4 linked regions of the Pelodiscus sinensis genome follow. The protein of the gene in region 2 interacts with the protein of the main gene of each other region in a pairwise test. Links are inferred from orthologs where the notes say so. Each region holds a gene or a part of one and is shown on either strand. Other genes may lie near its edges. The genes, in order: METTL13, THAP1, AP2B1 and RBM10.

Region 1 (7,439 bases), on a different chromosome or scaffold from region 2:
GCTGCTTTTTTGGCCAGTGGCTGGGCTCTGCCTACACACAGATGGCTTGTTTTGTTGCTCCCGAACACCAAGATTTTCAAGCCTGGATATCTAAATGTGGGGGCTCTACCGCCTTTAAAGGCGGCTTTGATAAGGGCCTCGATTTGCAGAGCTGCTGAGCAGCGCTGGCCAAGAAAGGGGACTCTTTCCGAAAAAAGGAATTGATTTTTGTTTGGAAGGGGGGGGAATTTCCCCCCACTTTGGAAAAGCCAGTCGAAAACGTGAAAGCTTGTCATGGGAAGGAATTTAAAGAAAAACTCCGTTTCGGGAGAACTGACACAAAATGTGTCCGGCTTCCTGGTGCCCTCACTTGGGACGTCTCATCCTAGCTACTGGAGAATCAGCGGGAGAAATGCTCAGTGCCCGAGAGCTGGACGGGGGAAGGAAAGGCAACCCGCCCTCTGTTTGGGTGACAGTGGCAGATCTGGGGCACTATTTCGTTTCACCGGGTTTGCTAGCCTCTGCCGACAAGCCCACGTTCAGCTGGAAAACCCCTAAGCCTCTCTTCTGAACACCCAGCAACTGCCGTGGAAACAAACAGGAGTGGTTAGGAGCCAGCATAGGTGAAAATCAGAGCCTTTTTATACCTAACCAGGGGCTTACGAGCAGAACTGTAGAGTCCTGCGGCGAAACGCTGCCCCCGCTGCCGTCGATGGGAGAGAAACGCCTTTTCGGAGGAGCTCCACTCACCGATGAAGATGGCGAAGTGATGGTCACGGGAGGCGTTCACGGAGGGGCTGTCCACCACGTGCAGCGTGTAGCGAGGCTTCCCGGTGTCCGCGTCGCACAGATCCAGGGAGACGTCGCCCGCACCGGGGGCTTTGTCCAGCTGGCTGCGCAGCAGCGCGTACATCTGCCTCTCCTTTACCGCCTCCACCAGCCGCTCCGCGCTCTCCACCCGCACGGGCTTGTCCAGCTCCTCCGTGCAGATCTCCAGGATCGGCTGCACCAAACCAGGGAGCTTCTTGCACTTGGTCATGACGTAGAGGAAAACGGGCAGCACGAACTGCTGCTGGGCCTCTCTGTCCTCGCTGCCCGCCAGCTGGTGAATGCGCACCACCCACCCCTCCTGGGAGAAGTAGCCCACCGCTTTCTTCACCACGTGGGCCTGGGCCAAGGAGACGCACAGGTAGCGGCCCCCAACCTGCAGCACCCGGCTAATCTCAGCGAACATCCTGTCCACCCTTTCGAGAGTGGCCTCCTCTTCGTCGACCAGGATGGCATCCAGGGTGCCCTTGTCCAGCACCACCTGGAAGCGGGCGTCCGGGAAGTCCATCTGCAGCATGTCCATCACCAGGAAGCTCATCTTCGGCCTCCTGTCGGCGTTGCGCTCCCTCATCTGCTTGATCACCACCTCGCTGATGTCCACGTTCACGATGTCCTGGTAGCCGACGTCATACATCTGCTCGCTCAGCTCGGAGTTGCCGCAACCCACCACGAGCACCTGGGACATGCAAAGAGAGGGTAGCTTCCCTGGGGGTCCCAACCCGCCTCACACACCATGGAGACGAGCAAACACCCGTGGGGAACGGATGCCGGGGGGGGGGGGCCTTGGGGGAGAGGAGGATCGGGGGGGGGGACATTGGGGGAGAGAGGGGGAAGGGATCCCGGGGGGGCTGCTGGGAGAAGGGAAGGGATGCTGAGGGGGCATTGGGGGAGGGAGAATCCGGGAGGGCACTGGGGGGAGGGGAAGGGGGATCCCGCTGGAGGGAAGGGAAGGGATCTCAGGGGGAAGGAGCGGTTGCAGGATCCCGGAGGAGGCGCTGGGAGGGGAGGGGGATCCCAGGGGGTATCCGGGGGGGGCGCTGGGAGGGGAGGGGGATCCCGGGGGGGGGCGCTGGGAAGGAAAGGGATGCCAGGGGGGGCGCTGGGGGAGGGAGATCCCGGGGGAGGGATCCGGGGGGGCGCTGGGGGAGGGGAGGGGGATCCCGGGGGAGGGATCCGGGAGGGCGCTGGGGGAGGGGAGGGGGATCCCGGGGGAGGGATCCGGGGGGGCGCTGGGGGAGGGGAGGGGGATCCCGGGGGAGGGATCCGGGGGGGGCGCTGGGGGAGGGGAGGGGGATCCCGGGGGGGCGCTGGGGGAGGGGAGGGGGATCCCGGGGGGGCGCGAGGGGAGGGGGATCCCGGGGGGGCGCTGGGGGAGGGGAGGGGGATCCCGGGGGGGCGCTGGGGGAGGGGAGGGGGATCCGGGGGGGGGCTGGGGGAGGGGAGGGGGATCCCGGGGGGCGCTGGGGGAGGGGAGGGGGATCCCGGGGGGGATCCCGGGGGGGCGCTGGGGGAGGGGAGGGGGATCCCGGGGGGGTCCGGGGGGGCGCTGGGGGAGAGGAGGGGGATCCGGGGGGGCGCTGGGGGAGGGGAGGGGGATCCCGGGGGGGCGCTGGGGGAGGGGAGGGGGATCCCGGGGGGGCGCTGGGGGAGGGGAGGGGGATCCCGGGGGGGATCCCGGGGGGGCGCTGGGGGAGGGGAGGGGGATCCCGGGGGGCGCTGGGGGAGGGGAGGGGGATCCCGGGGGGGTCCGGGGGGGCGCTGGGGGAGGGGAGGGGGATCCCGGGGGGGGCGCTGGGGGAGGGGAGGGGGATCCCGGGGGAGGGATCCGGGGGGGGCGCTGGGGGAGGGGAGGGGGATCCCGGGGGGGGCGCTGGGGGAGGGGAGGGGGATCCCGGGGGGGCGCTGGGGGAGGGGAGGGGGATCCCGGGGGGGGTCCGGGGGGGCGCTGGGGGAGGGGAGGGGGATCCCGGGGGGGCGCAGGGGGGGCCGGGGTCTCACCGTGTCGCGGGGGCGCGCGTAGCGGCGCAGGGCGGGGCGGAGCTGCGCGTACCCGCCGTACCACTCGAAGGCGCGCGCGCCGCGCTGGCGGAAGAAGCGCTCCCAGTAGCCGGCCGAGCCGAACTCGCGCGCGCTGCGGGGCAGCAGCGCCATGGCAGGGGGCGGGGCCTCTCCCCACGTGCGCCCGCGCCGCGCCGCGCGACCCTGGGACGTTGCGACGCTACGTCCGCGTCCGGAGCCCGCCCATTGCGGGGCGGGCGGGGCTCGGAGGCGGGGGCGGGGCCCCGGGGCGGGGCTGGGAGGCTGTGACATGAATCCATGGGCTGCAGAACCAAAGCCTCCCCAGGGGGCAGTGGCTACAGCTTCGCGCCTGCCCGAGCCTGCAGGCAGGGGGCGTGGCCATTCTCCGCTCAGCTGGGTGTTGACTCTGGACCCTAATGACATCGGGACAGGCAGCGACCAGAGGAGGCAGGAACTGCACACAAGTAGCAGCCCAGAAGAGGAAGCTGCATACCAAATGTGGTGGTCCTAGCCCTTACCATTTAGGAAGAGTTCTTGAACAAACAGACTCACAATTGGACAGACAGATGCACATTTTTAAAATACATAAGTACATTTGAACCATCCCTTAGACCACACCAGTGCAACTGCCCAAAATGTCAGTTGGGAAGAGAGAGAGCCAAATCCGAATCAGCATAGCTTGATTGATAAATTCACACCAGGTAAGGATCAGACCCATTCACACATTCAGACTAGCCAAATGTTCAACTGCTGTTTACTGAAAACAGGAGGAAAGGAGGGAAGGTTATAATGATATTGGCATAAACAGACACCCAGCATACACTGATTGGAAAGAAGCTCATATATTTAACAAAATAACAGATGGAGAATTATTAATGCCATCAAATGCCTTTGCAAGAAAACAAACAAAACAACAACAAAAACGTACGGTAGCTATATGTTAGGCTTGTTTCCTGCTTGTATAAAAACAACCCAGCTAATCAGAATCTCAAAAGAGTATTTTCCAAAAGCAGATTTACAATAGTGACAGCAGTTAGAGGCAGATCAGTTGTGGAAGGTTGTAAGTATGCGCAAAACATCCTGCTTTTCTGCACGGTTGCAACTGGTTCCGCAAACGGCAGCATTTTAAAAGCCACCCTCTGAGTCAGGAAGCCCCAGATTGGATCTTCCTTTTGGCAAGTATCGTTGTGCAGAGTTTGTGGATTTGCCGTAGGTGTGTGTGCTTTCGCTCCAAAGAGGGACTGCTTCCATCTCCTTTTTCTAAACACAGGGGCTACGTCTACACTGGCCCCTTTTCCGAAAGGGGCATGCTAATTTTACAGGTCGTAATAGGGAAATCCGCGGGGGATTTAAATATCCCCCGCGGCATTTAAATAAAAATATCCGCCGCTTTTTTCCGGCTTTTAGAAAAGCCGGAAAAGAGCGTCTACACTGGCCCCGATCCTCCGGAAAAAAGCCCTTTTCCGGAGGATCTCTTATTCCTACTTTGAAGGAATGAAGGCTGGAGAAAAGGCCCTGTAGGGGGTCTTAGAGTTCAATATGTTCTGTTCTTCTCCAAAGTAAGATTGAGAAGTGAATTGATCAGGATTTTTACACACAGAAAATGCAGGTGCCCACCGTGGAACAGTTGATCGTGGTGGAGAGATGGGGAGGTGCTGATCGGCAGAGCTACAGGCGGGCGGGAGGCATTTGGGTGCGGAAGAGGTCCGGGGGGTGGCTGGTTCGCGCCCCCCCCCCCCCCCGCCTTTCTGGAAGATGTAGGTGAGTCAGACACAAGCTAGTAGGTGCAGGTGGGTGAAAATCTGCGGCCTGCAGTATAGACTAGAATGATCCAACCATCGCTTCTGGCCTTAACATCTTTGGGGTCTAGTCACGCGGGTTGGGGGCTCGCTGATACACGTCTGAACGCCAGCGCTTCGAAGGCAAGCGCCTAATTCCCCTTGGCTTCAATGGCAGCAAGCGCCTAATTCCCCTTGGCTTCAATGGCAGTCACGCACCTAAGTGCCTTGTAGGATCTGGGCCGGGGGCATTTCCTCCCTCCCGCACTGGGACTGAACAATCGCTGTGCGTGCGGGGGGGTGCAGAGCCCCCCCCCCCGTGCTGCACCCCCGCGTGGACACGGGCCGGGACCGCGACAGCCCCGAGCGCCGCGCCGCTGCCCACGTGGGCTCCCAGCTGGCAGCGAGCCTCAGCCCCGCCCCCTCGCGCGAGTGGGCTCGAGACACGCGCGCGCCCCCCAGGGGCCAGCCCGCCGAGCGCCGGGCAGGAATCGATGGCTCGGCGCTCGGCCCGGATCGCCGAGCGCTCGATGGAGCAGCTGACTCGCAGCTGGGCCCCTCCGCGCAGCCCGGCCATTTCCCAGCCGCGGAGCGGTGAGCGGGGCCGGCAGGGGGGTTATCGGGAGGGGGCTCCGGGGGGGCAGGGCCTGGGGGCCCTTGGGGAGGGGGCTCTGTGGGGGGCAGGGCCTGGGGGCCCTTGGGGAGGGGGCTCTGTGGGGGGCAGGGCCTGGGGGCCCTGGGGGAGGGGGCTCTGTAGGGGGGGAGGGGGCCCTTGGGGAGGGGGCTCTGTGGGGGGCAGGGCCTGGGGGCCCTGGGGGAGGGGGCTCTGTGGGGGGCAGGGCCTGGGGGCCCTTGGGGAGGGGGCTCTGTGGGGGGCAGGGCCTGGGGGCCCTGGGGGAGGGGGCTCTGTGGGGGGCAGGGCCTGGGGGCCCTGGGGGAGGGGGCTCTGTAGGGGGGGAGGGGGCCCTTGGGGAGGGGGCTCTGTGGGGGGAATGGGGTGGGAATTGGGGGGGTCCTTGGAGGCCGTTCTGTGGAGAGGCTTTGGGGGTTCTGTGGGTGAAGGGCTTTGGGGGCTCCCAGCTACGTGTGCTTGCAGAGCTCTTGCCCCCTCTGCTGTTGTCTGGTGGCCCCGTGTAGACTCATGCTGCACGTGAGCTCGTCTCAGGGTCCCCTCTCCTCCCAAGCGCTGGGTTTTAGAGGGGAGTGGGGTTCGGGGGCTTCACGGGGGAGGGGTCCCAGGAGAGACCCATCGGGGAAAGCAGTTCCCTAGCACTGGGGTATCTCTCACTTCCTCCAGCCTGTGCTCATTGCCAGGGCTTCTCCTCTACCGGCCACATGATCCCTCCGATAACCCCCAGCCCAGCCCCTCGTATTCGCTGTGGTCCCTGCTTCCGGCCCAGCCAGCTGGGTGACACCCGCCCCCCCCCCACTCCTTGCCCAGGACCATTGTACCCCCCTACCCCCATCAGCTGCCTGGGTGACTTCTCCAGATTCTCTAACTTGTGCCTCTTTTGCTCCTGGCTTCGGTTGTGTCTGGACTGTTGCTCTTAACCTGTAGCGACACTCTCATCCTTCAGCACATGGGGACAGGCCCTGCCCTGCTGCGGGCTGTCTGGCTGTTTAGGGGAGCAGACAGTGCTCGCTGTGCTGGGACATTGGCTAAATTTCCTGCATTTCTGGTATTGTCACAGCCTACGGCTCTCCCTGCAATTTTCCATGTGCCCGCTCCGGGGTGGCAGGTTCCCCGGGATTGCAACGTTTCATCTCCACTGACTCCTGCAGCCGAGGAGAGTGGTGATGTTCAAACCCGCAAAGCCGTATCCAGGGTACTTGGGGTAGAAAGCCGCTTAGGATAGAACTGGGTGGCTCGGGGAGCCAGATTCTTTACCTCCTGGGTCACTGGGACACGGAGCCAGACGAGGTCAGCCCTGCAAGTGATCACTATGAAGTGGGGTGCAGTTCCTTGCTGACAGATATTTACCCAGCCCAGCTCTCCACCACCCTCGGCATCTGTGGGTCACTCCCAAAGACGCCAAGGGCAGGGGCCGTCTGTCTGGCTCAGGTGGAACGGAACACGTTGGCGGAGGAACGCTGGAGAACTTTGCATGCTGCCGTGCCTACATGAGATGGGCCTGTTCTGTAGAGAAGCAGGGTTTAACTCTTCCAACTGGGCCCCTCGTTGGCACTGACCGTAGCAAAGGGGGCAAGGTGGAAGAGAGAGAGCAGACCGCGCTTGGCCAAAATCCTGTGGGGGCTCGTCAGGTTTTATTGCTTTTCTTTCCTGGTTTAGTAACCTGTGGCTTTTTGATAAAATTGGTCGCTTTGGGGTTTTAGACCAAAGGGCTTGATAAGGGTTGTGGATCGGTTCTCCGCTGTGCTCAGAGCTGTACAAAAATGCAGAAAAACACAGTCCCAGCCCCAGTGAACTTAAACGCTTTGGCCTTGGCCCTCCGGAAACTCACATGTGGCCTGCACAGTCACATGCGTAAAGATAAGCAGGTACCGTCACGTCTCTTCAGGGTCAAAGTTTCTGAAACTAGACGGAACGACGTGATCTGTCCCTTGGGGTCCCTGAAAGCCTGGCATTGCTGGGCCGGTGGGTTGATTTTTCATTCTCTTTCCTGTGGCATTTGTCAATGGATTCTGTTTCACTGGGCTGAGTTTTAGGGAGACCGCGGCGATCGGACAGAGAATTGATCTCAGCACAATGGGCTCTGAGATGTTTTCTTCCCTCTCCCTTCTACGCAGCCTCTTCTTCCGCCACCCCCCGGTACAGACAGTCCAGGCCAGTTCTGTGAATAGGAAAGATGCCTCCAAAATTCAAGCGCCACCTAA
Region 2 (7,625 bases):
AAATCTTGCATCTATTTGAGACGCAGGAAAGGAAGATGGTGGTGGAGCAGGTGGTAGCAAAGGAGGTGGTGGTGGAGGGGGTGGTGGTACTGCAGACAGATCTTCAGGTTGCTCTGTAAATTCTTCAGTCTACAAACAGCAAGAGAAAAAGTACATTTTAATCTGTTTTGGGAATAGGCCATCTAATCACCAGATTGTAGTCTGTAAACAACAATAAGCATATCCATTACTAGCAAAAACAGCTAAGAACTTCTTCATTAAAGTTTTCTGAGAACCATCCAAAATGATTCCAAGAACTCTCTCTCAGGTGTTAACAACTCAATTAGATATCCCATCATACATGTATAGGTGGAATTATTTTTCCAATGTACATCTCTGTGCACACAGCAGTATTGCATTTTGTCTCCCATTTTGCTGCCCAGTTTTTGGAGATCCCTATGTAACACTTTGCAGCCAGCTTTGAACATAACTATTTTGCAGGAATATTTTGCATTTGCAAATGTTGTCATTTCACCATTCAGTCCCTTTTCTAGATCATGAATGAATATGTTGAACAGCACAGCTCTTTGACGAAACCTCTCTCTGTTGCAAAAATGGACCATTTATTTCTACTCTTTATTTCTTATCTTTTAGCCAGTTATTGATCCATAACCGACCTGTTATTCCAGGACTAGTTCATTTCCTTAAAATCCTTTAGTGAGGCATCTTGCCAAAGGCTTTCAGAAAATTCAAATACACTAAACCACCCAAGACGTCCTTTCACAGATGCTTGTTGACCCCCTCAACCAATTCTAATAGATTGAAGCATAACTTTCCTTTACAAAATCCATGTTGACTCTTCCCCAACAAATCATGTTTATCTATGCACTTGGTAATTCTGTTATTTACTATGATTTCTACCAGTTTGCCTGGTAGCAAAGGTAGGCTGAACAGCCTTTACTTGTCAGGATTGCCTCCGGAGTCTGTTTTAAATATCCTCCAGTCATCTGGTACATAGGCTTTTTCAGCAGTTACATACTATAGTTAGTAGTTCTGCATTTCTTTTCTGAATTCCTTCAGACATTCTGAGTAAATGTCATTTGGCCCTGCTGACATATTACTGTTAAATGTATCAATTTGTTTTAAAATTCCACAATGATGCATGAATGGGACAATACTTCAGAAATATCACCCAAAAAGGACATCTACATGAGCTGTATCTCACCTACACCTGTCGTTTTGCATATATAGGTTGAACCTCCCTGGTCCAGCAACATCCATGGTCTGGCAGGACCATGGATGTTGCTGGACCAGAGGGCCTTGATGGCTGGGGCCCACTGAGAGTCCAGCAACCAGGAACTTGGCAGCTGGCAGCAGAGCTGGGCTGGCAGGGTCAGGAAGGGAGCCCAGCTGGGAGGCTGGCAACCCCATGGGAGAGCCGAGGCCAAGAGGCTGGAATTGATCTCCCCTGGTCTGGCAAACTCCCTTGTTCGGGACCAGTCAGGTACACAAACACTGTTAGCAAAACTACCCTATCCTGGAAGACCATCTTGGTTACAACAATCTCATGGCCCACTGAGATGCAGGAGGGTCACTCATTGGGCCTACTCACTAACCTAGTTGGCCGCTCTCTCCTCTAGACCCTTCAAAGTTGTCCTGCTCTCTGTTTAATATGCAAAAACACAAAGGGGCAGACAAAATCCAGATCTCCTTAACACGGTTCTTCTCCCTTCTCTGTATTAAAAAAATGCATATATTGCAGTATTTGAGTAACAAAAATTAAAGTATTATAAGAAAAAGTTTTCACGTTACCTTTATCTTCTCACTGGGTTCAGTGTAACAAAATATCGTGGGCACAGCATTTTCCTTCAGTAGCTTGTTATTGCACTCTCTTTTAAAGCAATCGGGAGTGAAGTGCTCTGAACAAATACTGCTATACTTTGTGGGCTTGAAATTTTTTCTTTTAACAGCAGCTTCCCATTTCTTGCAGAGGTCAGGTCTGGTGAGAGGAAACCTGCAAACGAGATGGACTTTCAGCGCCACTGAACCGCTTTCTAAGGAAAAGCGACAGCACTGCAGGCATACAAAAGGCACGGGTGCAGCACTCAGGGTTGGTCGGCATGGCGGGGCCAAGGAGCCCGGTGCTAGCTGCTGTACAAACAGGGATCAGAGAGGCAGCCTGCTGGCCCTGCGACATTCAGCGCCCTGGCTGGGTTTGCCAGCGCATACACCTACGGCGGGCATAGGGGCGCAATGGGGGGGCGCAAGGGGCCAGTGTCCGCAGGCAGAACAGGGTTTTGCACGGTTCGGGGGAACTGACAAGCAGGTGCTGCCGTGGGGCTGGCCAAGGCACAAGTGGCCAGGAGGCCTGGACAGGGAGCGGGCGGACTCGGAGGGGCATGGTCACTGCCAGGCCGGCTCATGGGCTTTGCCAGGCGCACACCGAGCCCAGCAGGCAGCTGAAGCCAGGCCTGGGGGCAGATGGGCCAGCCCTGCCCCTCATTGGCCCGCGGGCCGGACAACAGGCCCGGGCAACCGGCCCGCGGGCCGGACCAGGCTCGCAGGAGGGGGCGGGGCAGCCTCCCAGCGGCCCCTCCCTCCTGCCTTTCCCCCGCCCGACGGGTCCCACGTGCCCACGCAGCCCCGCCCCCTTATGGGTGCGCGCGTGCCGCCCCGCAGCCGGTGCGCACGCGCTCTGGGCTGCTCGCCAGTGACAGTTACTCCCCGCCCCCCCCCCGGGGGCCCTTCCCGCCGAGGCGCGCTCCCGCCCCGCGCAGGCGCGCTCCGGCCCTGTCCTCACTTGTGGAAGGAGATAGGCTTCTCTTTGTCGTATCGGTTCCGGCAGCGGTAGGCGGAGCAGGACTGCACCATTCTCCCCCGGCGGCGGCCGCCTGCCCCGCTCCGGAGCACGCCGGGGCCGAGTGCAAGGACTCGGGCGACCGCCAGTTACCGCCCGACCCCCATCCCTTTTCTATTAGCCCCTAGGAGCAGAAAGGGGACACGGCCTCTCCCGACTTCAAGATGGCGGTGCCAGCTTCAGGTGAACTCTCGCGATACCAGTGCCTCGCTCGCCTCCATTGGCCGTTCCCCTCCGCGAGGGTGGAGCCTTTTCGCGCAGCCCACCAATAGGCGTCGAGGCTCCGCGTGTGGCGCGGGGCCCCATTCGCCCAGCTTCCGCCTTATCCTTTGCCCCGCCTCCCTTCGCTCACACATCTGGATAGCAGGGTCCCTGTGCTTCCAGCGTGCGCCAGCAGGCGGTGTCCAGACTGCTTCATTGCTGCGGAGTCTCGCTCCAGTGCCTTTGGCCAGAAATTCTGCCCCTTCCCCTGCAGCTACTAGGGCTGCTCTCTGCCCTGGGTGAGGTGGGAAAGATCAGGCAGGCCAGGGCTCCTTCTTGCCCAGGGAGGGGCAGCCTAGGCTCCTGACCCGGCTGCATGAGCGGCCCTCCTTCAGCTGAGTGCGCTGCAGATTTGTTGTAATCCACCTGGTCTCCCAAGATAGGGGAGATTTTGGTAACTGCACTTGTCTACCTAGAATTTGTGGGGTGTGCCAAGTGGACTCTAGCAGCACTTTGATTGGATGCAGTGGGTGTGCAGGGCTTTCACAGTCAGTGCATGCAACTGCGCACACCTCGCTTCACCTACCCATGCATAAAAAAAACGTAAATGCATAGTCTGTAAGTCTAAACCTTAACGACTAACAAAACATGTCGATTGTATCATGAGCTTTCATGGGCTCACTTCTTCAGATGACTGGAGTATTGAAAGTCCAGATCCAAGAATAAATAAGGGAGGGGGAGGAGGGGAAAAAGGGGAGAAAAAAGACAGTGAATACCTGTGCATATCATTTTAGTAATACATAGGAGCAGGGGGACAACTTATGCCCACAGAAAACAGCTGAATCTGGCAATCTTGCCATGGGCAACACTAAAATTTGTTGTGGGCCACACACAGAACCCCATTGGGCCACAGGTTACCCACCACTGTTCCTGTCTTTCAGTTCCTCCTTCCCCCCCACCCATCCATACTTTTTCAGGACTGAACAGTGGGAGGAGAGGTACAGCAGCATAGTCAAACACCCCAGAGATGTGTGGCAATGTAAGCCGTGTGGCTACGGAGACGCTCAACCAGCCAGCCTCCTCTAGGCCAAAAGCAATGAACTATGCCAAGAAGCCCAATGAATAGAGGAAATGTGATGGGAAGCAAGGAAGGAGGGATTTCTGGTGGTAGGGGTCCGTGGATCATAGGGAAATAAAGAATTGGTATATTAATTAGAGATGTAAAGCACTGCCTAACTAGCCTGCTTACAAGGAAAACTGGTTAACCTGCACCCCACCTGGCCGGGAGCAGCCCTCTATCCATGGCTGGGCCCACCATGCCCTGCCATGGATGGGGAGCTGCTCCAATGCCCCCCACCCTCCCAGTCACAGGTCAGTTAATTAAACATGTAGTTTAACTTGGTTAACATTTTTAATGGAATTTTACATCCCTAATATTAAATGGGTGGGTCACAAAGACTTGAGGTTCATTCATTCAGCCAGCTAAGGATGGTAAACAGTGGCTCACAAGGAGCTATCAACAGTTTGGTCAGGGCCACATCAGTCCCCCTGACCCAAGGAATTTTAAATAGAGATTGTAACTAATGGTAACTCCCCTCCCCATCCTAGTAACTGAGGACACCGTTTTCCTACAGCTCAAAAGTACCTACTTCCCCACTAAACACAACCTTGAACACACATTTAGCATTTTCTGCTATATTTTGTTGTACCCTGAGTATAGTAAAGAATTCATCGGTCAGTTGCATACAATATACACACTGGCTAAGGCTAGGTATTCTGCACCGCCTTAGCCTGTTTCACTGTACACTTTACCTGATCTGCTAGGGGAGTGCAGCTGCACTGCACTGCCTCATTCCCTATAAACTTTCCAAAATGCCCTTTGCAAGGTTAGTGGAAATCTGAGAGGCTGTGTTGAGACACAACAAAGCAGGTAATTAAAGTCGGTGTGAGGGCAACAGGCAGAGTTATGGTGGCAGATGAAAATTTTAATCTGGCACGTCCTGATGTTTCAGCGCTTAATTATGCAACCTGCGCGTTTCCTTGGCGTACTCTCTGCAAAGAAAGTCAGATGGGGGCGATTATTTCAGCCCTACGGTCCCCCGCCACTGGCCGTGGGTCGGTCTGTTCCTTGGGTTTCTCCTTGGGACTCTAGAGGGATGCAGACGGGCTCAGAGGCAGGCTACGGAGTTTGGAAAGGTGCGCGTTACAGGCAGGGACTCACGCCCCAGCCTGTGCGGGGCGCGAAGGCGATGGGGCGCGACCCCACCCCAGCCCGCACACAGTCTCCGCTCGCGGCAAGGGGCAGCGCTCTGACCCAGCCCCTTTTCCCAGCTGGCGTCGCTGTGCAGCCCGCAGCGAGGGAGCGTGGGCGGGCGTGTGGGCAGCTGCCAGCGCGGAGCCGTGTGCGCTCCCATGCCCAGGCGGGAGGGAGAGCGCGCCGCGGCCGGCGGAGGGGCGGGGAGAGCGGGCGCGAAGGCGGCGCTGCCGCTGGGAGGGGGTTTGACATCAGTTCCCCTGTAGGAGTTTCGGTAAATGCCACAAGCCGAAGGCGCGGAGCCCTGGGCGGCGGAGGAGGCTGCCGCTGCCCCCGGGGGGAGCCGACCCGCCTGCCAGGGGTGAGCCCGGCCCCCGCCACCTCCATCGCGGACCCCCGGGCGCAGGGCTGCGGCGGGCGGAGGGCCCCCCAGACGCCCCCGGCGAGCGCACGCTCCCGCAGCCCCCGCGGGGGCTCCCCTTGCTCCCGCTGCGGCCGGAGGCGGGGCGGGCCCCCTGGCCGGGCGGGCGGGCAGGATGAGCGGCGGCCGCAGCGGCCGGGCGGCGGTGAAGATGGAGGCCCCGTTCTACCCCGAGGAGGGGCTGGAGCTGCTGCCCGACTTCGTCCCGCTGCCCGGCTTCGGCGGCCCCGGGCAGGAGGCGGCGGGGCACAAGCTGCTGCTCGGGGCCGGTAAGAAGCGGGAGCTGGCGGGCCCCCTGGCGCTGCCGGGCTCCTTCCCGCTCCGGCCGCCCGGCGGCAGCGCCCGCAGCCCCGCCGCGCTCAGGCTCAGCCCCGCCGCGGCGCCCCCGGGCTCGGCCGCGGGGGGAGGAGCCGGCGGCAGGGGCGGCCCGGAAGCGGCTCTGCTGGCGGCCGGGTCCTCGGCGGAGCTGCCGCTGCTGAAGCTGCCGCCCGCGGCGGACCTAGAGCAGCTGCTGATCCAGGGCGGCCCGGGCCTGGGCCCCGCCAGCCCCTGCGCCGCCCCGCCGGCGCCGCCCCCCGCGGCCGGGCCCTTCCTCTACCGGCAGCCGGTGACGCAGGAGCAGGAGGGCTTCGCCGACGGCTTCGTCAAGGCCCTGGCCGACCTGCACAAGCAGAACCAGCTGCTGGCGGCGCCGCTCTCCCCGGCGCCCTGCGGCCCGGCCCGCCCGCCCAGCGACCCGCCCGCCGTCTACACCAACCTCGGCAGCTTCAACCCGGCCGGGCCGCTCAGCCCGGCGGGCTCCTACTCGGCCGCCCCGCCGCCCGGCCTGCCCTTCTCGCCCGCCCCGCCGCCGGGGCTGGGCCGCCTGCCCGTGCCCGGCGCCGCCAGGGCCCTGGAGGAGCCGCAGACTGTGCCCGAGGCGGCCCCGCCGGGCGAGGCCGGCAGCGGCGCCCCGACGCCGCCCTCGCTGTCGCCGCTGGACGCCGAGAGCCAGGAGCGGCTGAAGGCCGAGCGCAAGCGGCTGCGCAACCGCATCGCGGCCTCCAAGTGCCGGCGGCGCAAGCTGGAGCGCATCGCGCGGCTGGAGGAGAAGGTGAAGGCGCTCAAGGGGCAGAACGCCGAGCTGGCCGCCACCGCCAGCCTGCTGCGCGCCCAGGTCAGCCAGCTGCAGGGCCGCGTGCGCAGCCACCTCTCCAGCGGCTGCCACATCAGCGCCGCCGCCGGGCCGCCCGCCGCGCCGCCCGAGGGCCCGCCCGAGCCCGCCGCGCCGCAGACCAGCGCCTGCTGAAGCCCGCCCGCCTTCCCCGAGGTGCCTGGGAGGATGCGAGACTGACGGGCTCCCCATAGCTGCTGGAAGGAAGGCGAGGGGGAGCCACGCTGCGCGCCACGCCGGCTGAGCGCGGCTAGTTCCCAGGCAAGGGGCTGGTGTGCGCGCCGTGCAGCTTTCCCAGGACTGAAAGAATCGCTGTTTACACAAAGAGTCCACTTTATTTCCCTGCTAGAGGCGTTCTTTCTAACCCCCCTGGAGCGGGGCTTGATTCAGAGTTGTCTATTCCCAGCTTGAAAAAGCTCAAATTCTACATTTTTTTTTTTTAAAAAAAGTGTGTGTCTGTGTGTGTGTGTATAAAACAAAATGTGGCAGTGTATTTCTTTCTTAGCAGTGAAAGGAATTTTTTAAGATTGTATTGCTGCAGAGCAGCTTTTCATTTGCAGCTGATAGGGAAGCCCTGCGAGTAAAGCACTTGAATGGGCCTAGTTTTAAATCTAGCCTTCGCTGAGAGAGATTCTGCCACACAACTTAGGTTAGAAGGAATCCTATTTAATGACAGGTTCAGCTGTAAGAAAATACTCTTATCATAAGCTCCATATTATTTCTTGTGCCAGTGCAAACATGGGGCATTGATAAATATATT
Region 3 (7,882 bases), on a different chromosome or scaffold from region 2:
TGCCTGTGGTATTCGTACAGGTGTATCCATTCACACCCCAGCAACTACAACAACATGACCTTGATCAGGATTGTTCACGCTGGTTCTGCTACTGCCTTGCCAATAAGCTAGCTTTGTGTCTGGGAGCAGCAACACAAGCGGCAATGTTTAAAGACAGGGACAGAGGAGAAAGATACTCAAAAAGCCCAGGCTATGGCACCATTCTGAATTTAAATACCTGAAGCTTACCACTGTTGGCAGCAATCCCCACAGCTTTCCGAGAGAGGAAATTGCTATTAGCCTCATTTCGTAATTAAAAATGCAGCCTATTTGCAGCTGCAATTCTATTGCAGCTTCACAGCTTAGCCTAGTTTGAAAGAGGACTTTGTCTTTCACTTACTAAAGCATCAGGCACAACACCATTGTTATGAGCACTAATGTAGCTCTTGCACTATGCTGTAGTTTTCTTATGCACAGGGATCTTTCATTTTGGCCAGAACCGCCACTGATTCAGTCTGCCATTCTAATAATGGCTAATACCTGGCTATTTAAGGCAAGGTCAAAAATCCAATAATGCACTGAGATGGGGCACCTGCCCTGCTCTGGCCTAAGAAGGGTTAAATCCAGCCTTGGAAGAGGGCTGGGGCTGTGGAGCCAGCAGCTATGGCTGTATAAATGAGGGCTCCTAGAGGGGAGGAGACACACACTCTTGCTCCAGCTGTGGAGCAGAAGAGACCTGGCTGCCAGGGAAGCTATAGAAGCTTCCTGACACAGGCCAGGGCTGGGGAGCTCTGAACAGGCAAACTTCCTGGCTGAGGCCTCTCTCTCAAGGCCTGAGTGTCCTAGGACTGAAAGAGCCAGAGCAGCAGAAGGCATTAGGTCCACCCCCATGCCAATGATGAGTGGCCATTTCAGACTTCAGTTTGCCCAGAAGTAGGGTCTAGATGCCAACTGGCAGTGGGTCACTGAGGCAAGGTGGGCACAGGGTCTTGGGGGTTCCCTGAAGGGAGGGCCCCACAGTGTGGAAGTACTGCAGTAAGACAGGACCCAGAGGAAAGGGCTCTGCAGTCTGGGAGGAACATGGGAACAGATACATGATGGAAAACAGATTAACAGGAAGGTGAGACACCGACTGGAAGGGGGCGCGCCAGTGCCAACAGGAGCTAATCCCTGAGGCTATGTCTACACTCACGGCTTCTTGCACAAGAAATATGCAAATGAGGGTAAGCGTAGAATATCACTGAGCCTCATTTGCATACCTAATGAGCCACCATTTTTGCAAAAGAGGCTCTTGCGCCAGAAGAAACTGTCTACACTGCCCCTTCTTGCGCAAGAAAAACCTTCTTGCACAATGCTGCTACACTGATTATTTTCAGGAATAACGGCATTGTGCAAGTGGGTTTTTCTTGCGCAAGAAGGGGCAGTGTAGACAGCTCCCTCTGGCGCAAGAGCCTCTTTTGCAAAAATGGTGGCTCATTAGTTATGCAAATGAGGCTTGGCAATATTCCACGCTTTGCCTCATTTGCATATTTCTCATGCAAGAAGCTGCAAGTGTAGACATAGCCTGAGTGTCCAGCAGGAGCCACTGCTGTGGCGAGTAACACAATGTTACATGCACATTTAACTAATTGCGCAATGCTACACAGAGGAGGAAAATGCCTTGCTAAACTTCACAGGAGACCTTTATGCCCTGAAGCCCGAGATTTCATTAGCCTTATTATTTTAGCTTGCTTGGTTACAAATGTCATTAGCACTCATAAAATTACTCAACTCTGATTTAAATCTAGTCACAGTATGTGTCCTAATGACCTCCTGATTTGGCAGATTACAAACAACATTTATGACTATTATTTTAATAAGCACCATCACCACAATACTCTAAATACAATACAAAACTGCCTTTCCCCAGGGTGCAGAGTATTGTATTTCACTATGTTGGAGCTAGCTTCAGACATGCTGTCAAAGGCAATTTCCCACTGGTGCTCAGTATAATCTAGTTTACTAAGAAACCCATTATAGGGCACAGTGAGTCTCAAGTGAAACCTAAGAAACAAAGAGCAATGTGAGAGCAGTGATTCACAAATGACAATGGTTTCAAATAACCATCAAGGAAATACACAGATCAAACCAAGAGGAGAGTTGAAAAATTTTTCAAGATGGAAAACAGGGATTTTTATGAGCAAGAGCTGAGGGATGTTTAAAGAAGACTGAGGCTGTAAAGATGAGCGATCAAGCTCATCTTTGTGCTCTTGCAACCCAGTTGGTATCCAACCAGCACCTGCTCAGCTCAAACAGGTAAACTGGGAATGGTTTTGAGGTTTGCAGCAAGAGGCCTGTGCTCACCCCAGATAAGAAAAGAACATGACAAGGAAATACCCCGCGGGCTCGGCTCTGCTCTGAGCGCGCTGCTGGTTCACACGCATGCGGTTCCTTTCAGCCTCCGAAATTCACAAGGAGACTGAACCAGAGGGGTCTCACCCCGTGGCACACGCCCTCCCGCACAACAGCCTCCAAGCAGCGCGGGGCTCGCACCCGCCACACCCCGGCCCTGACCGCCCAGAACCGGGGCGGGCGCGGGCTCCTCTTGTGCCCGGCCCCGGGGCCCCTCGGGGCGGGGCCGCTCGCCTCAGGGGGCCCCAGGGGAAGAGTCCGGGGCTCAGACGGGGGGAGGGGGGGAACCCGGAGCCCGCCCGTCTCCCGGTGACACCCGACAAGGCGCCGGGCCCCCAGGAGCGGGGCTGGAGACAAAGGGGACCCGCCCCCCAGCGGGGCCGCGCCCTGCGGACCCGCCCCCTCGGCCTCCTCAGAGCCCCCCAAACCCGCGGGCTGCTCCACGGCGGGGCCCGCTCACCGGGCGTCGGGCGCGGTCCGGGGGCGGGGCGGGGCGGCCGAGACTCTCACACCGCTGCGGAGGAGGCGGTGGCCGGGAACCGGAAGCGGAGCAGCTCAGGGTGATAGAGTTCTACCCTCGCCTAGCGCGTACGCGCCGCCGAAGCCATAGAGACGCGGCTGTGGGCAAAGAGCGCCGCCTCTTGCCCCCTCCCACTTCCGGTCCGGGCGACCCGGCCCCGGGGTAAGTGTGCGGCCGGGAGACCCCCCCCCCAATCGCCCCCCTCCCGCGCCCCGCCTCCCTCCCCGGGCGTTTGACGTCACTCGCACGCCCCCGGGCTGCCCCTCCCCCAGGGGACTCCAGGAGCCAGCCCAGGGCCCCTCAGCGCCGCCGCGGGGACTCCCAGCGCTGCTGGGCACGGCGGGTCCCGCGGCGCACCCCTAGGGTGGGGCACGTCACCGCACCTGCCCCGCCCGCAGCCCGCTGCCTTGAGCTGAGAGGGACAAACCTCCCCCCTCTCAGTCCCTGCTGCACGGGGGCGCCATGGCAGAGCGCGGGGCTCACCTCACAGCCGCCTCCGCCAGCGATGACACACCGTCCATCTTTGAGGTGGTGGCCCAGGACAGCTTGATGTCAGCCGTGAGACCTGCACTCCAGCACGTGGCCAAGGTAAAGATGGACCCTCCTCCCCCAGCCCCCCATTAGGGAGGAGGAGGTAGAGCATGAGAAATGTGAATGTGAAAATAGGACTTGAAGTGAGTTTGGTGTTACACCTTTTAACTTGGCCTAATGTCTGTATCCCACCGCGCACGTGGTACCTTAGTCTCCACTTAGGAGCTTTTGCATATAGAATTGAAGTCTCATTGACTATTTGGCTCAGTTGCATTTATAAAACATTGGTGCAGTTGTGTTATATTACGGATAGACACTTGCCAGTATTTTCACTGGAAACAAATTGTGGCAGGGATTTTCTACTCCATCCTGCACAGACAAAGCTTTTGTGTCATAATTCTGAAGATAACTGACAGTGTTCCAGCTGAATCAATTTTAATGTCAGTGTCAAGCATGTACTTGGGGTCAGTTACCTTATCCAGGAGGAGAGGTACAAGCTAATGGTTAAAGCAGTCTCAGGACTCCTGTAGCCTCTTCCTGGCTCTGACATTGATTTTCCAGAGACCTAGGCAAGTCACTTAATTTCTCCATGCTTTGGTTTTTCTCTCTGTAAAATGAGGGATAATACAGACTTACCTCACAGAGAGGTTGAGAGTTGTTTGTCATGTTGGGAAAGCACTTTAGTGACTTGAATGGAAGGTGCTATAAAAAGGCAAAGTGCAGTTTTAGGATACAGAACTCCTATGCCTGAGTAGATGCATTGGCTCAGCCTTGCACAGATTGTAACCTCTCCATGGCTGATACTATAATGGCCCAGGAGCTGAGAATTCTGGACCCCCAGAAACTTAAAGGGCTCCTTTGTGTGGAAAACAAGTCCCTGGGTGGCAGGTATGCGATGTTTCTTTTGTGCTGTCAAAGCATGGGATAAACTGCCTATAATTACTGCACTGATTAGCACCTCCTGTGTTCAGACCACTGTACAAACATAAACTTGTCTTCACAACAATCCTGTGAGGGAGTGAAACGTTCTCTCCAAATGACAATCAAGCAGTGAAGTTAGGTGGCTTGCCAAAGAAACAGATGAAGACAAAAGCAGAAGTAGGACTGACTGGTGCTCAGGTCTTGGCTCCAAGTTTTGTGTCTAGACAAGGGATATTTAAAATCATGTAACAATGTAATGTACATTTTTCAAAAACTGCTGAGATTTTTTTCAGCAGTTACATGGTTAACCAGGCTACAGCCTCCCCAGCAACAAGGGAAGAGGCTTCCCAGGAGCAGAGCCGGCAGCCCTTGCTGTAGCAAAGCCGCCTGCCTGGGAGGCTGAGTGTAACCAACACCGTTAACCGCTCAGTTAACCTGTTAGTCATTTACACTTTTACATCCCTAGTTTAGACTGCCTCTTTCTCTAGCACATGCGGGATTAGTGCCCAGGTCGAAGTTCTTCTGACTGTTGCCGATAATGCTAGTTTAGTTCCAGACATGAAGTACCAAGGCATCTATTCTGAACAAATGATCCTGGAGAGAAAACACAAATATACACGGTGCTTTTGAGACCCTGTTTCAGTGAGGATACATATGCAGTCAGATAATTGTAGGAGACACACTTTCATTATTGGGGAATGTGTCCCCGGAGAAATGCCCTTTACTCACTATGTTGATTTAGATTAATCAACTAATTGAATAGCTCTTGTACATTTCAAAAGCAAAGTGCCAGAAGTGTGGGGCCAACAGGGGACTGTTTTGAGTCCCCAGCTCTCCCCGTAGTGCTTCTACTTTTGAAATGGAGCAAGAGTCCTGCTACATTTCAAAGGCGGAAGTGCTGCCACTTCTCCGCTGTGTCCCTGCCTCTTCTCCCCATGGAGACGGTGCTGGGGGGGAACCAGTTTTTAAGCTGGCTGCACACATTGATACCATGTTGCCAGTTGTATACTGGTAACAAACTGAATGATTTAATTTTCCAAAGGACCAAAGTTCTACTAGCCAGTGTTTTATTCTGATCACTGCTCCAGTCTGTTTCTTATACTGGATACATAGACCAGAATTGCTTTAACTGAGTTGCCCTTTGACACTGCTTCCTTCCCTGTTCCACTTATGCTAGGTGCTTGCTGAATCCAATCCCGGCTGCTACGGCTTCCTCTGGCATTGGTTCGATGAGATCTACGCCCTCCTGGATCTGTTGCTCCAGCAGCATTTTCTCACCAAGTGTAGTGCCTCTTTTTCAGAAAACTTCTATGGCCTAAAGAGGATACCATTGCGAGACAGAAAGGGGCTGCAGCAGTTGGCCAGTGCTGGGCTACCAAAGAAGCAACACTGGAAGTCTCTCCTCTTGTTGGTTCTCATTCCCTACCTGAAAACAAAGTTGGAGAAATTGGTCTCCAGTCTGAGGGAAGAGGATGAATATTCCATCCATCCTCCATCATCAGCTTGGAAGCGCTTTTACAGGGCCTTTTTAGCTGCCTATCCCTTTGTAAACATGGCCTGGGAGGGCTGGTTTCTCAGCCAGCAGTTGTGCTACCTTCTTGGGAAGGCTCAGCATCATTCCCCACTGCTGGGCCTGGCTGGTGTGCGTCTGGTTAGGTTGACAGCAGAGGACATCCAGGCACTGGAGCAGAAACTAGCAGAAGCAACTGCAGGCCAGCAGGTAGCATGCAGGTAAGTTTCAAAGGAGCCATGTACAGTTTAGAATTCTATGTGGGACTATTTGGAGCTGTCGTTCTATACCCAGATGGTTCTATAGCACAAAACTGTCTCAGTGTACGGGGATCAAAGAGAGCTCCTATAATTTTGAAACGTGTTCAAAGAAGGCCACATTGAGCAGAAGGGAAACAAAGTCAAACATCAGAGGTACCCAGTAGCAAATCTGCCTTAACTTGCATGGGTTCAGTCTCTGTGAACCTATTCAGTCCTTGGGAGCCCTTCTGAGATGGGCGTACCTACCCACTTGGGTGGTAAATTGTCCATTACTGGACTGGGATTAGCAATTCTGTTTCTACAGAAATCCTGCACAGAAGGCACTGAGTTGTGAACACTCCCAGCCTCAGCCTGCTTTGAAACAACAACCCATGAGTGAATTCCTTTGTAGCCCAATCCCGCTCCTTCCCACTAAGAACTACTGGGCCTCAGCCAACTTTCCACATTTCATGCAGGCTGTGATCAAAGAGCAAATTACACATACCTGAAATACCTGTTTTTTGTTTCCGATTCTAAATAACATTGTAAACATCAGGAACATGTAACAAGCTTTCCCCCCCCCCCCTTAAAAAAAAAAAAAGCAGTAGGTGACTAGCCCTGAAGCCTCTTTGATTTGTAGAGCTGGGAATTGCCTCTGAAACTATTGTCTGTCAGCACTGTAGTTTGCAGGCAGGTGACAAGGTGGAATGCTAATTGTCTATCTGTATCTTACTCCCTTCTGCAGCATTAAGGAGCAAGTGCAATCCACAGTGAAAAAAGCATTGGGAGGTATTGCCTTATCCCTGTCCACCGGCCTCTCCGTGGGTGTGTTCTTCCTGCAGTTTCTGGACTGGTGGTACTCATCTGAGAACCAGGAGACCATCAAATCCTTGACTGCATTGCCTACTCCTCCGCCACCTGTGCACCTGGATCATGGCATACGCTCACCCCTCTTGCCAGCACTTAAGACCGTGTGCCCGTTGTGCCACAAAATCCGAGCCAACGATACAGTCCTTTCCACGTCCGGCTTTGTATTTTGTTATCGCTGTGTCTACACGTATGTCAAGAGTCACCAAAGGTGCCCCATCACGGGCTATGCTACAGAGTTGCAGCACCTAGTCAAACTGTACTCCCCTGAAAGTTGACTGCACTGATACTTACAAAGCAGATCCCTAACGGGTTCAAGCACTGCACACTCTCTAGCTTCTTGAGCACACCTTTTCAGCCAGCCGGACTGTGTCTAACATTGCTAGAGCAGCAAAGGGCACAGTGACAGTCTATTAGCAGAGCAATCAGGCTCTATCCAAGTCTGAGATGCTAGGGCGAGGTTGGCAAATTCAACCAGAAGGCTCTAGTACAAACCACTATCATAGACAGATACAGGCCTAAATGAAGCTCTGCTTGGGTCCAGCCTGGCACTTCCTACATTCCTAAGACTACTTCATCTTGGCATTCACAAGAGAGCTTTTACAGAACAGGGCTGTACCTACCAGTCAGGTTAAGCTGTCCCGTTTCTCCCCTGCAAATCTCCCCTTGGATGGCTCAGGTGAAGTTAGCAAGCCAGGCAATGCTAACAGGAGCAAGCAGACTCCGTTCTGTCTCAATTGGGTTTATTCAGTATGTGGCTGAAGCCAGATTAAAATTGGAAACTACCCTGATTCAGATTTACTTTGCTGAATGTATCCTTAAATCTGCTAGTAACTGCTGATGTAGTAAAGCTGGTCCTCTCTGCCTATTTAGCATGATACTAAGATTCATTCCACTTAAGGTTTAAACCACTGCTAACAGGCT
Region 4 (7,523 bases), on a different chromosome or scaffold from region 2:
GCTGGGACCATGGAGAGCACCCCGAGTTGTCCTCTCCAGAGCACTGGGATCCTCCTCCCGTGCCCCACCTCTCTGAGCTCGCACTGCCGCAAACCTCCCCTCCCCAGGGGCTTCCCCCACCCACCTTCAGCCCAACACCCTCCGCGTTCTGCACTAGCCAGACCGCTCCGGGCTCCCCGACCACAGCCAGCCTCTCCCCCGCAGGGTTGCCTGTCCAGGAGCCCGCGGCAGGTCTAGCTGCAGGCCTGGCTCCTACAGGCCCTTCTGAGCCTCTGCCTGCATTACGCAGGGGAACGGTTCTGGGAGCCTGACACATCCTCCCCCCACAGCCCAGAGCTAGCGGCTCCGTCAGGTGCCCGGACTCGTCACATGCCGGCTCGGCTGTCTCCCAGCAGCAGGAGATGGAAGCAAGAGCATGATGCGCTCTGGGGTCTGCGAGGCGTCACCTCACGTCCGAGTGTGGCCCCGGCTGCTTCCCCGAGACGCCCTCCCGTTGCTGAGCGCCACCACCGAAGAGAAGTCCTGACAGGAACGGCCTCGCGACGCAGCCAAGGAGGTAGGAGGCCGGCTACTTCCCGGCTTCCTCGCCGGACCAGTCACCCGTGCTAGAGCCCACCTGACCGACTCCCCCAGCCCGTCGAGGGGCGCCCATGGGGCAGGCAACCTCTCTCCGTAACAGCAGGTAACGTTAGGGTAGCAGCCAGCGAGCGCTGGATCCGAGCCCTGGCCCCCCGAGCCAGCCAGCCGCCCTGCAGCTGGATGGGAGCTAGCACCCCCTGGAGGGGAAAGGCCCCCAGGTCCCATTCCCCACCCCCCAGCCGGCTGAGCATGCTGTCCCACACTGTGATCTGTGTCTCTGATGCCAGCAAGTCGCATGAGCCAGGCCGTGGCTCCTGCCCTCACTGGACACCTGCAGAGAGGGGAGTCTGATTGAAGACAGAGGGGGGGTGCTACCCCCGCTCCACCCCCTCACACAGATCGATTATCTCCAGGCCCTTGGTTGCTTTGCCCTTGGTTCCCTGCAGCACGGGTTGGGGCTGGTCTCTCCACGCTCTGTAGCAAAAGCCTCACAAAGCCCCCAAGTCCCTCTGAAACCAGCCACAGTGCGGCACGTACACGCGGTTCTCTCCACAGCCCAGGATCAACTCTCCTTCCCCCACAGCTCTGCTGACACCATGGGAACCGGGATCACCTACAGAACCAGCTCAGGGCCTAGTGACATGCTCCACGGCTCCATTCTCCACCGAGATCCTCGCCACACCGCCTAGCCCACGAGCCGCGCTATCGGAGCTGAGCGCAGGGTGCCAGGCACAAAGCCAGACAGAAAGGGGGTCTCTCCCTCCTCCGTGGCTCCCTGCCTGCAGCACAGATCTGCTTTGCCACCAAGGCACCCCTGGAAAGGGGGTCCCCAACCGTGCACTGGGGGAGCTGCCTATGAGCATCTCTGAACTCTGGGCTGTTCCTCTCTCTGGTGCTCGGTTCCTCTTTAGCTGGACAATGGCGGAGTCCTTCCCCACCTCGTGGCAAAGGAGAAAGCTGCCAGCACTTCTAAGGTCTGAGCCCGCACAGGCAACAGAAACTCCACCAAACCAATCTATTCGGGGGGGGGTCTTCTGCAACAGCGACTGGACGCCTCTGCTTGCCAGTGTCTAAGAGGCAGGGCTCAGCACCCACCCTGCGGCACCAGGCCCTTCCGGCGACGGATGAATGCCAGGGAGATGCAGTCGTGCCAGGAAGCTAACAAGCCTGTGAAACTCACTGCCACCAGGGGCCACTGAGGCAGGGGTGAAATCAAGGGTGGGACAATTCCAACAACAAGGCTTCAAAAGTGCAAAGCGAGTCTCTTGCACAAGCCCCCTCCCTTGGCAGCATCCGGGGCTGGTCCCTGGCAGACACAGGGCATGGGGGAGCTGGCCAGAGGGGGCTTCCCTTCCTCCTAGGCACCTGCCTCTGCCCCGTCTCCAGGCCCAGCTGCTCCCTGGCTCAGCCACGTTACCTCAGCCAAGCCAACTTTTCCTCTCAGTGGCACCAGAGCCGTGCCAGGCTTTCCTCTGCCCAGCACCCAGCACGGCAGGGCACCCCGAGCGCAGCCAGGGCCCGTGTAGCAGCAACACGATGGGGGGGCGAGGGAGCCTCCGGTCCCAGTTTCGCCTCCACCCTCAGCTGGCTCTGTAGTGACGGCACCCGGACCCCCAACTGCCCCCCTGGCTGGCCACCCCCCAGCGTGCTCCAGCGCCTCCGTGGCTCGTCTCTCAGCAGGTTCATCCGCCAGCTGCCCCAACCCCTCATCAGTTCCTCCCTTTCCCCTTCCAGCCCCCAGCGACCCCCACGCTCCTCTCTCCGCAACCGCCCCCCAAGTCGACCCAACTCCCCCTCCCCCACGGACTCCGAAGACTAGGTCCCAATCACAACAAGCTCCTCCCCCGACCCCCGCAGACCACGCCCCCATCTCGACACGCTCCGCCCCGAAGACCACGCCCCCATCTAGCCACGCTCCGCCCCCCGACCCCCGCAAACCACGCCCCCATCTCCACACGCTCCGCCCACGACCCCCGCAAACCACGCCCCCATCTCGACACGCTCCGCCCCCGACCCCCGCAGACCACGCCCCCATCTCCACACGCTCCGCCCCGACCCCCACAGACCACGCCCCCATCTCCACACGCTCCGCCCCGACCCCCGCAGACCACGCCCCCATCTCGACACGCTCCGCCCCGACCCCCGCAGACCACGCCCCCTCCCAACGTTTCCGGACGGTCCCACAGACCCAGCCCCCCCTTGCTTCTCTGCCAGCGCCGCCCCCCCACAGGCGCCGCGGCCCCGCCCCCCGCGCGGCGGCGCTGACCTGGGCGGCGGGAGCCGCGGGCCGGGCCGCACACACCGCTCCTCGCGCACCCGCCGCCCGCCCGACGCGCAAGATGGCGGCGGCTCCAGCGGCCGAGTTCTGCCGACTGTCCCGGCGGCGGCGAGCGCGGCCCCGCCCCCCCGCGCGCCTATTGGTCGCGGCGCCGCGATACCATTGGCCGGCAAGCCTGCCGCTCAGCGCGCGCCGGATGTGGGCGCGGGGCCGCGGCAAGTCGCTCCCAGCGCTCGCGGCACCTCTGGAGGGCCCGCCTCCCCGGGCAGGGGATTGGCTGGAAGGTCAGAGGCCCGCCCCCCCCACAGGAATAAGAATGGTGGAGCGAGCACAGGGCCCGCCTCTGCTCATCGGCGATTGGCGGAACGCTCACAGGGCCCGCCTTCCTATGCGGCCACTGAACAGCCGGGTCATGACCCAGCCGAGTGACCGCAGGGACATGATGTCATGGCCACGTCACGACGCGACGAGTTTTTTTATCATGGGTGTGTTGGGCGGTGACGCCATCAGGCAAAGTGCAGTGACGGTGTGCAGCGACCTCGTCACGTGATGTCACTGTGGCCCGCCGTGACGTCATGCACACGCTGGGGGGAACGGGGAGGGGTTGCGACTGTCGCCCAGGGGAGCTGAGGGTTTTTTTCCTCCGAGGATGAATATGGTACAGTCCAGAGGTGCTAAAAGAGGGGGGGATCATATGGTACAGTCCGGGTGGGGTGGGAATAGGCGACGGCAAACTGTACCAGGAGGGGCGGGATGAGGAAGTGCTTTTGCACTGTACCCCCCTTCCGGTAAGAAATGGTACAGTCCGGGGGGGGGGTGCTATGGGACAATCCCAGCAGAACATGGTAGAGTCCGGAGGGGGGGAGTTCCATGGTACAGTCCGCGAGGGCCGATATTTAACCCGGCGCGCGACCCGCCCCATTCCGCTCCGGTCCCTTTGTGACGTGCTCTGACGCAGCGTGAGATCGCTCCCAGCCAGGGCCCCTCGTGCCGCGGCCGCGCAGGGCGGGGTTTCCGGTTCCGCGCGTCAGTGCCCTTCCCCCCGCAGGGGCGAGATGGCGGCGCTGGGGCGGTGTGCGCGGCGCGCGCTTCTGCTGCGGGGTTTCCCGGCGCGCGGGGTTCGCGCGGGGTCGGGCCCGGGGGGCGGGGCCGCGGCTGCCGTTGTGTCCCCGCCCCTCGCCGCGCGGGCCCCGCAGCAGCCGCACGAGGAGGAGGAGGACTTGATGATGGCGACGCTGCGCAAGGTGAGGGGGCGGGGCCTGGAGGGGCGGGGGGGGTCTGAGGAGGCGGGGCCTGAGGGGGAGGGGCGGGGCACGGCACTGAGGTGGGAGAGTCTGAAGGGGCGGGGCCTGGAGGGGCGGGGCACGGCACTGAGGTGGGAGAGTCTGAAGGGGCGGGGCCTGGAGGGGGAGGGGTGGGGCTCGGAGCTGAAGGGGCAGGGCCTGGAGGGGGAGGGGTGGGGCTCGGAGCTGAAGGGGCGGGGCCTGGAGGGGTGGGGCTCGGCACTGAGGTGGGGGGCTGAGGGGGCGGGGCCTGGAGGGGGAGGGGCAGGGGGCTGCACTGGGGGTGGGAGGGGGCGTGCAGAGTAGGGATGTTAAATTTTGATTAATTAACTAACTGACTATTCGATGGATTTTCCATCAACTCTGCGATTAGTTAATCGACTATTCGATTAGCCGCCGAGGGCGCTTCCGGGTTGAAAGGCAGCAGGAGCCCGCCCGGCTCTTTCCAAGGGCTCATTGCAAAGAATGAACTGGAGCCGGGGCCAGCAGGGGACTCTGAGCCCCCCCCCCACACACACTGGCCGGAGCTCCATGGTACAAGAGCCGCCACCGCGTCCCTCCCATGGAGCTGGAGCTGGGGGGAACCGGCTTTTCAGCAAGGGGCAGGGAAGTGGCTGGTCGCTCACATCCCTAGTACAGAGCAGGGTGTGTGGGGGTGGGGCAAGTTGGGGGACCAAGGTGGGGCCGGGGATTGCATTAGGGGGCAGGGGTTTGGGCAGGCTGTTAGAGTGGGGGGGGGCTGGAGGGGGCAGAGCGAGTGGGGGTGCTCGGGAAACCCAGAGCAAGGGGAAGGGGAAGGAGCACATCGTGAAGGGATTCAGGGTTGTGGGTGGGTGCAGTGGGGCCTGGGGGCAAGTGCAGAGGGAAGGAGGGTGCAGAATGGGGCGTAGGGCAGATGGGATGGAGGGATAGGCAGGTGGGGGATTTGTGGGGGAAGGGGTTGTACTGGGCTCCAGGCTAGAGTTCCAACTCTGCCTGTGAGACCCCAAGATTCAATTCCTAATTTGCAACAGCCTCCTTGTGTGGCCTTGGGTCCATTCCTTGACCTGTCTGTGCCTCAGTTTCCCATCTGTGTGGTTGGGGTGAGGCCTGTCAGGTGCTTGGATCTCTGTGGGGGGGCAGGGCGGGATTGGGGAGTTGGGGTGGGTTGGGGGGCGGTAGAGATCGCTGGGAGAGGGCGCCATGGGGCTGATGGGAGGGATTGGTGTTGAGGCGAGACCAGGGTGATTGGGGGCACAAAGGGCTCATCCTGCTGGCAGAGACAGTCACGCGGGGGGGGGAATCCCTGCCCAAGCCCCACCCTTGCCCGTCCCCTCCCTTAGCCCCAGTGGGGGTGGGCTGAGAACCCAGCGCCTCAGACCCTCTCTCCCTGGCTGACCAAGCCAGGGCTGCTGCCCAGTCTCCTTTGTGCATTGCCCTTGGCCGGGCCCAGACAAGGTCGCTGGCGGGTGGGGAACGCTGCCTGGGAAAAGGCCCCTTCCCAGCTCTCTGCTCCCTTCACTGCCAGGGGAGGGCGCCCCCCAGCGCCGAGCTGGAGCCGGCTCCCAAGCACGGCCTCGCGGTTTTCCCCAGGGGCTCTGTCCGCAGGAGCAGCGCCTGCCTCCGACAGCTGTGCCCACCTGCCCGGGCGCCGGGCCTGGCCCCGCAGGAGTTCAGTGCCCTGCCTCACTGGCCATGGGGCATAGAGCTGCTGGCGGGGGCAGCTCCGTGCCTGGGCTTGATCGGGGGGGGGGGGGGGGGGTAGAACTCCAGGCTCTGGGAACCAAGGTGCTAAATCCCTCACTGCTGTGGCTGCCAGCCCCCCCCCCCAACTCAGTTTCCCTGTTTAGATTCCCACCCACCCCCTTAATCCTGTGTGGCCCATGCTATGTGGGTCACAGGCAGTGCCCAGCAGGGGAGCCAGCTAGCCCTGGCCATGGGGGGAGAGGGGCTGGAGCCAGGGGCCTCTGCCCTGAGGGCTGCTGGAATGAGGGGCACATTCCCCCCTTTCCTCTGGCATTCACCTGGGACCTGCTGGCCTCAGAGCCAGGACTCCTGGGTTCTCCCTGGCTGTGGGAGAGGAGCGGGGTCCAATGGTTAGAGCAGAGGGGTGACTGGGAGCCGGGACTCCTGGGCTCTCCCTGGCTGTGGGAGAGGAGCGGGGTCCAATGGTTAGAGCAGAGGGGTGACTGTGGCCAGGACTCCTGGGCTCTCCCTGGCTGTGGGAGGGGAGCGGGGTCCAATGGTTAGAGCAGAGGGGTGACTGGGAGCCGGGACTCCTGGGCTCTCCCTGGCTGTGGGAGGGGAGCGGGGTCCAATGGTTAGAGCAGAGGGGTGACTGGGGCCAGGACTCCTGAGCTCTCCCTGGCTGTGGGAGGGGAGCGGGGTCCAGCGGTTTGGGAGCCACCCACAGGCTGATCCTCTCCCCTTGTCAGACCAGGCTTGGCCAGGTTGGTGCGTGGGCAGGGACCGATTCTCAGCTCCCATGGGGCCTGCTGTCCCTCCCTTCCCCCCTCCCGAAACAGCAGCTCCGTGTGGTCTGCTGCCCTGATGCACGAGTGGGACGTGCCCTGGCAGGGTAGCGCCAGGCAGCAGACCTGTCTGTGTGGCTGGTCCCCAGCTGCTTCAGCCCAGAGGTGGCTGCATCCCAGAGGGGGGAGCGCCCGAGGACAGAGGAAGGCTGCTGTGGTGACTCGCGTGTGCCTCGGGCTGTCCTTGAGGCGCTAACGGGCCTCCCGCCAGCTGGGAACCGGGCTCTTTGCGCCTCCAAGTTCCTGCTCCTGGTGGGGGTGGCGGGCTGCCCCCTCCCTGGCTGGGTTATTTTCAGCTCCCTCTCTTCGCTGGCACCTTCCTGGCCTGGCTGTTGTATCCGGCGTCGGATCGCACCGTACGGGCCTCGAGGCTTCCCTGGGCCAGGGCAGAACCCCGGCTCCCCGCTAGGGATGGGAATGGCCAACGGGTGGGGGCTGGAGTGCCCCCGGCCCCCCGTTAATCGTCAAACCAGTTAACCAATGAACCAGGATTTGACATCCTGTCCCAGCCTCTCCCTCGCTCCCCTCCCAGTGAACCCCGGAGACCTGGCTGCCGCCCGGCCTGCTCTAACCACTAGGCTTCACTCCCTTCCCGGCACCTGACCTTGCCCTGAGGGAGCTGTGGGTTTGCGGCTCCCGCTCCCTTTCTCTGGCTTGGGTGTTAATCCGCTTGTGAGCAGGCAGGGAATCCGGCTGCTGCTTGCGAGATGGGGGGAGGGCTGGCGGGGGGGACAGGTTGGCCCCCTTGCAGGGACATCGCGGCTGCATTAGCAGGGGGACTTCAGCGAGGCTGTGAGGACGAAGGGACTGGCTGGATTCGTGCCTGCCCGGGGCTGACATGCAGCCACCTCTGGGGCAGGCCGGCTGGAAACA

Evidence for each region.
Region 1: the proteins of THAP1 (region 2) and METTL13 interact in binary tests that used the Homo sapiens proteins (3 or more experiments, as listed by UniProt). The two-hybrid records come from large-scale screens. The link is inferred for Pelodiscus sinensis from reciprocal best matches to the Homo sapiens genes THAP1 and METTL13.
Region 3: the proteins of THAP1 (region 2) and AP2B1 interact in binary tests that used the Homo sapiens proteins (3 or more experiments, as listed by UniProt). The two-hybrid records come from large-scale screens. The link is inferred for Pelodiscus sinensis from reciprocal best matches to the Homo sapiens genes THAP1 and AP2B1.
Region 4: the proteins of THAP1 (region 2) and RBM10 interact in binary tests that used the Homo sapiens proteins (3 or more experiments, as listed by UniProt). The two-hybrid records come from large-scale screens. The link is inferred for Pelodiscus sinensis from reciprocal best matches to the Homo sapiens genes THAP1 and RBM10.

The regions. Positions count from the first base shown.
Region 1 is NC_134719.1:64,089,465-64,096,903, reverse strand, and holds the start of METTL13 (eEF1A lysine and N-terminal methyltransferase), read right to left. Parts: upstream 3,004-7,439; 5' UTR 2,959-3,003; coding exon 2,806-2,958; intron 1,484-2,805; coding exon 730-1,483; intron 1-729. Other genes in the region: VAMP4 (vesicle-associated membrane protein 4), read left to right, coding at 7,412-7,439. UniProt on the Homo sapiens protein: Dual methyltransferase that catalyzes methylation of elongation factor 1-alpha (EEF1A1 and EEF1A2) at two different positions, and is therefore involved in the regulation of mRNA translation.
Region 2 is NC_134716.1:3,815,899-3,823,523, forward strand, and holds the start of THAP1 (THAP domain-containing protein 1), read right to left. Parts: upstream 3,002-7,625; 5' UTR 2,851-3,001; coding exon 2,780-2,850; intron 1,994-2,779; coding exon 1,792-1,993; intron 130-1,791; coding exon 1-129. Other genes in the region: transcription factor JunD-like, read left to right, coding at 5,828-7,000. UniProt on the Homo sapiens protein: DNA-binding transcription regulator that regulates endothelial cell proliferation and G1/S cell-cycle progression.
Region 3 is NC_134731.1:17,019,990-17,027,871, forward strand, and holds the start of AP2B1 (AP-2 complex subunit beta), read right to left. Parts: upstream 3,005-7,882; 5' UTR 2,831-3,004; intron 1-2,830. Other genes in the region: PEX12 (peroxisome assembly protein 12), read left to right, coding at 3,353-3,478, 5,520-6,073, 6,837-7,236. UniProt on the Homo sapiens protein: Component of the adaptor protein complex 2 (AP-2). Adaptor protein complexes function in protein transport via transport vesicles in different membrane traffic pathways.
Region 4 is NW_027465846.1:58,706-66,228, forward strand, and holds the start of RBM10 (RNA-binding protein 10), read right to left. Parts: upstream 3,004-7,523; 5' UTR 2,846-3,003; intron 1-2,845. Other genes in the region: NDUFB11 (NADH dehydrogenase [ubiquinone] 1 beta subcomplex subunit 11, mitochondrial), read left to right, coding at 3,913-4,101. UniProt on the Homo sapiens protein: Binds to ssRNA containing the consensus sequence 5'-AGGUAA-3'. May be involved in post-transcriptional processing, most probably in mRNA splicing. Binds to RNA homopolymers, with a preference for poly(G) and poly(U) and little for poly(A).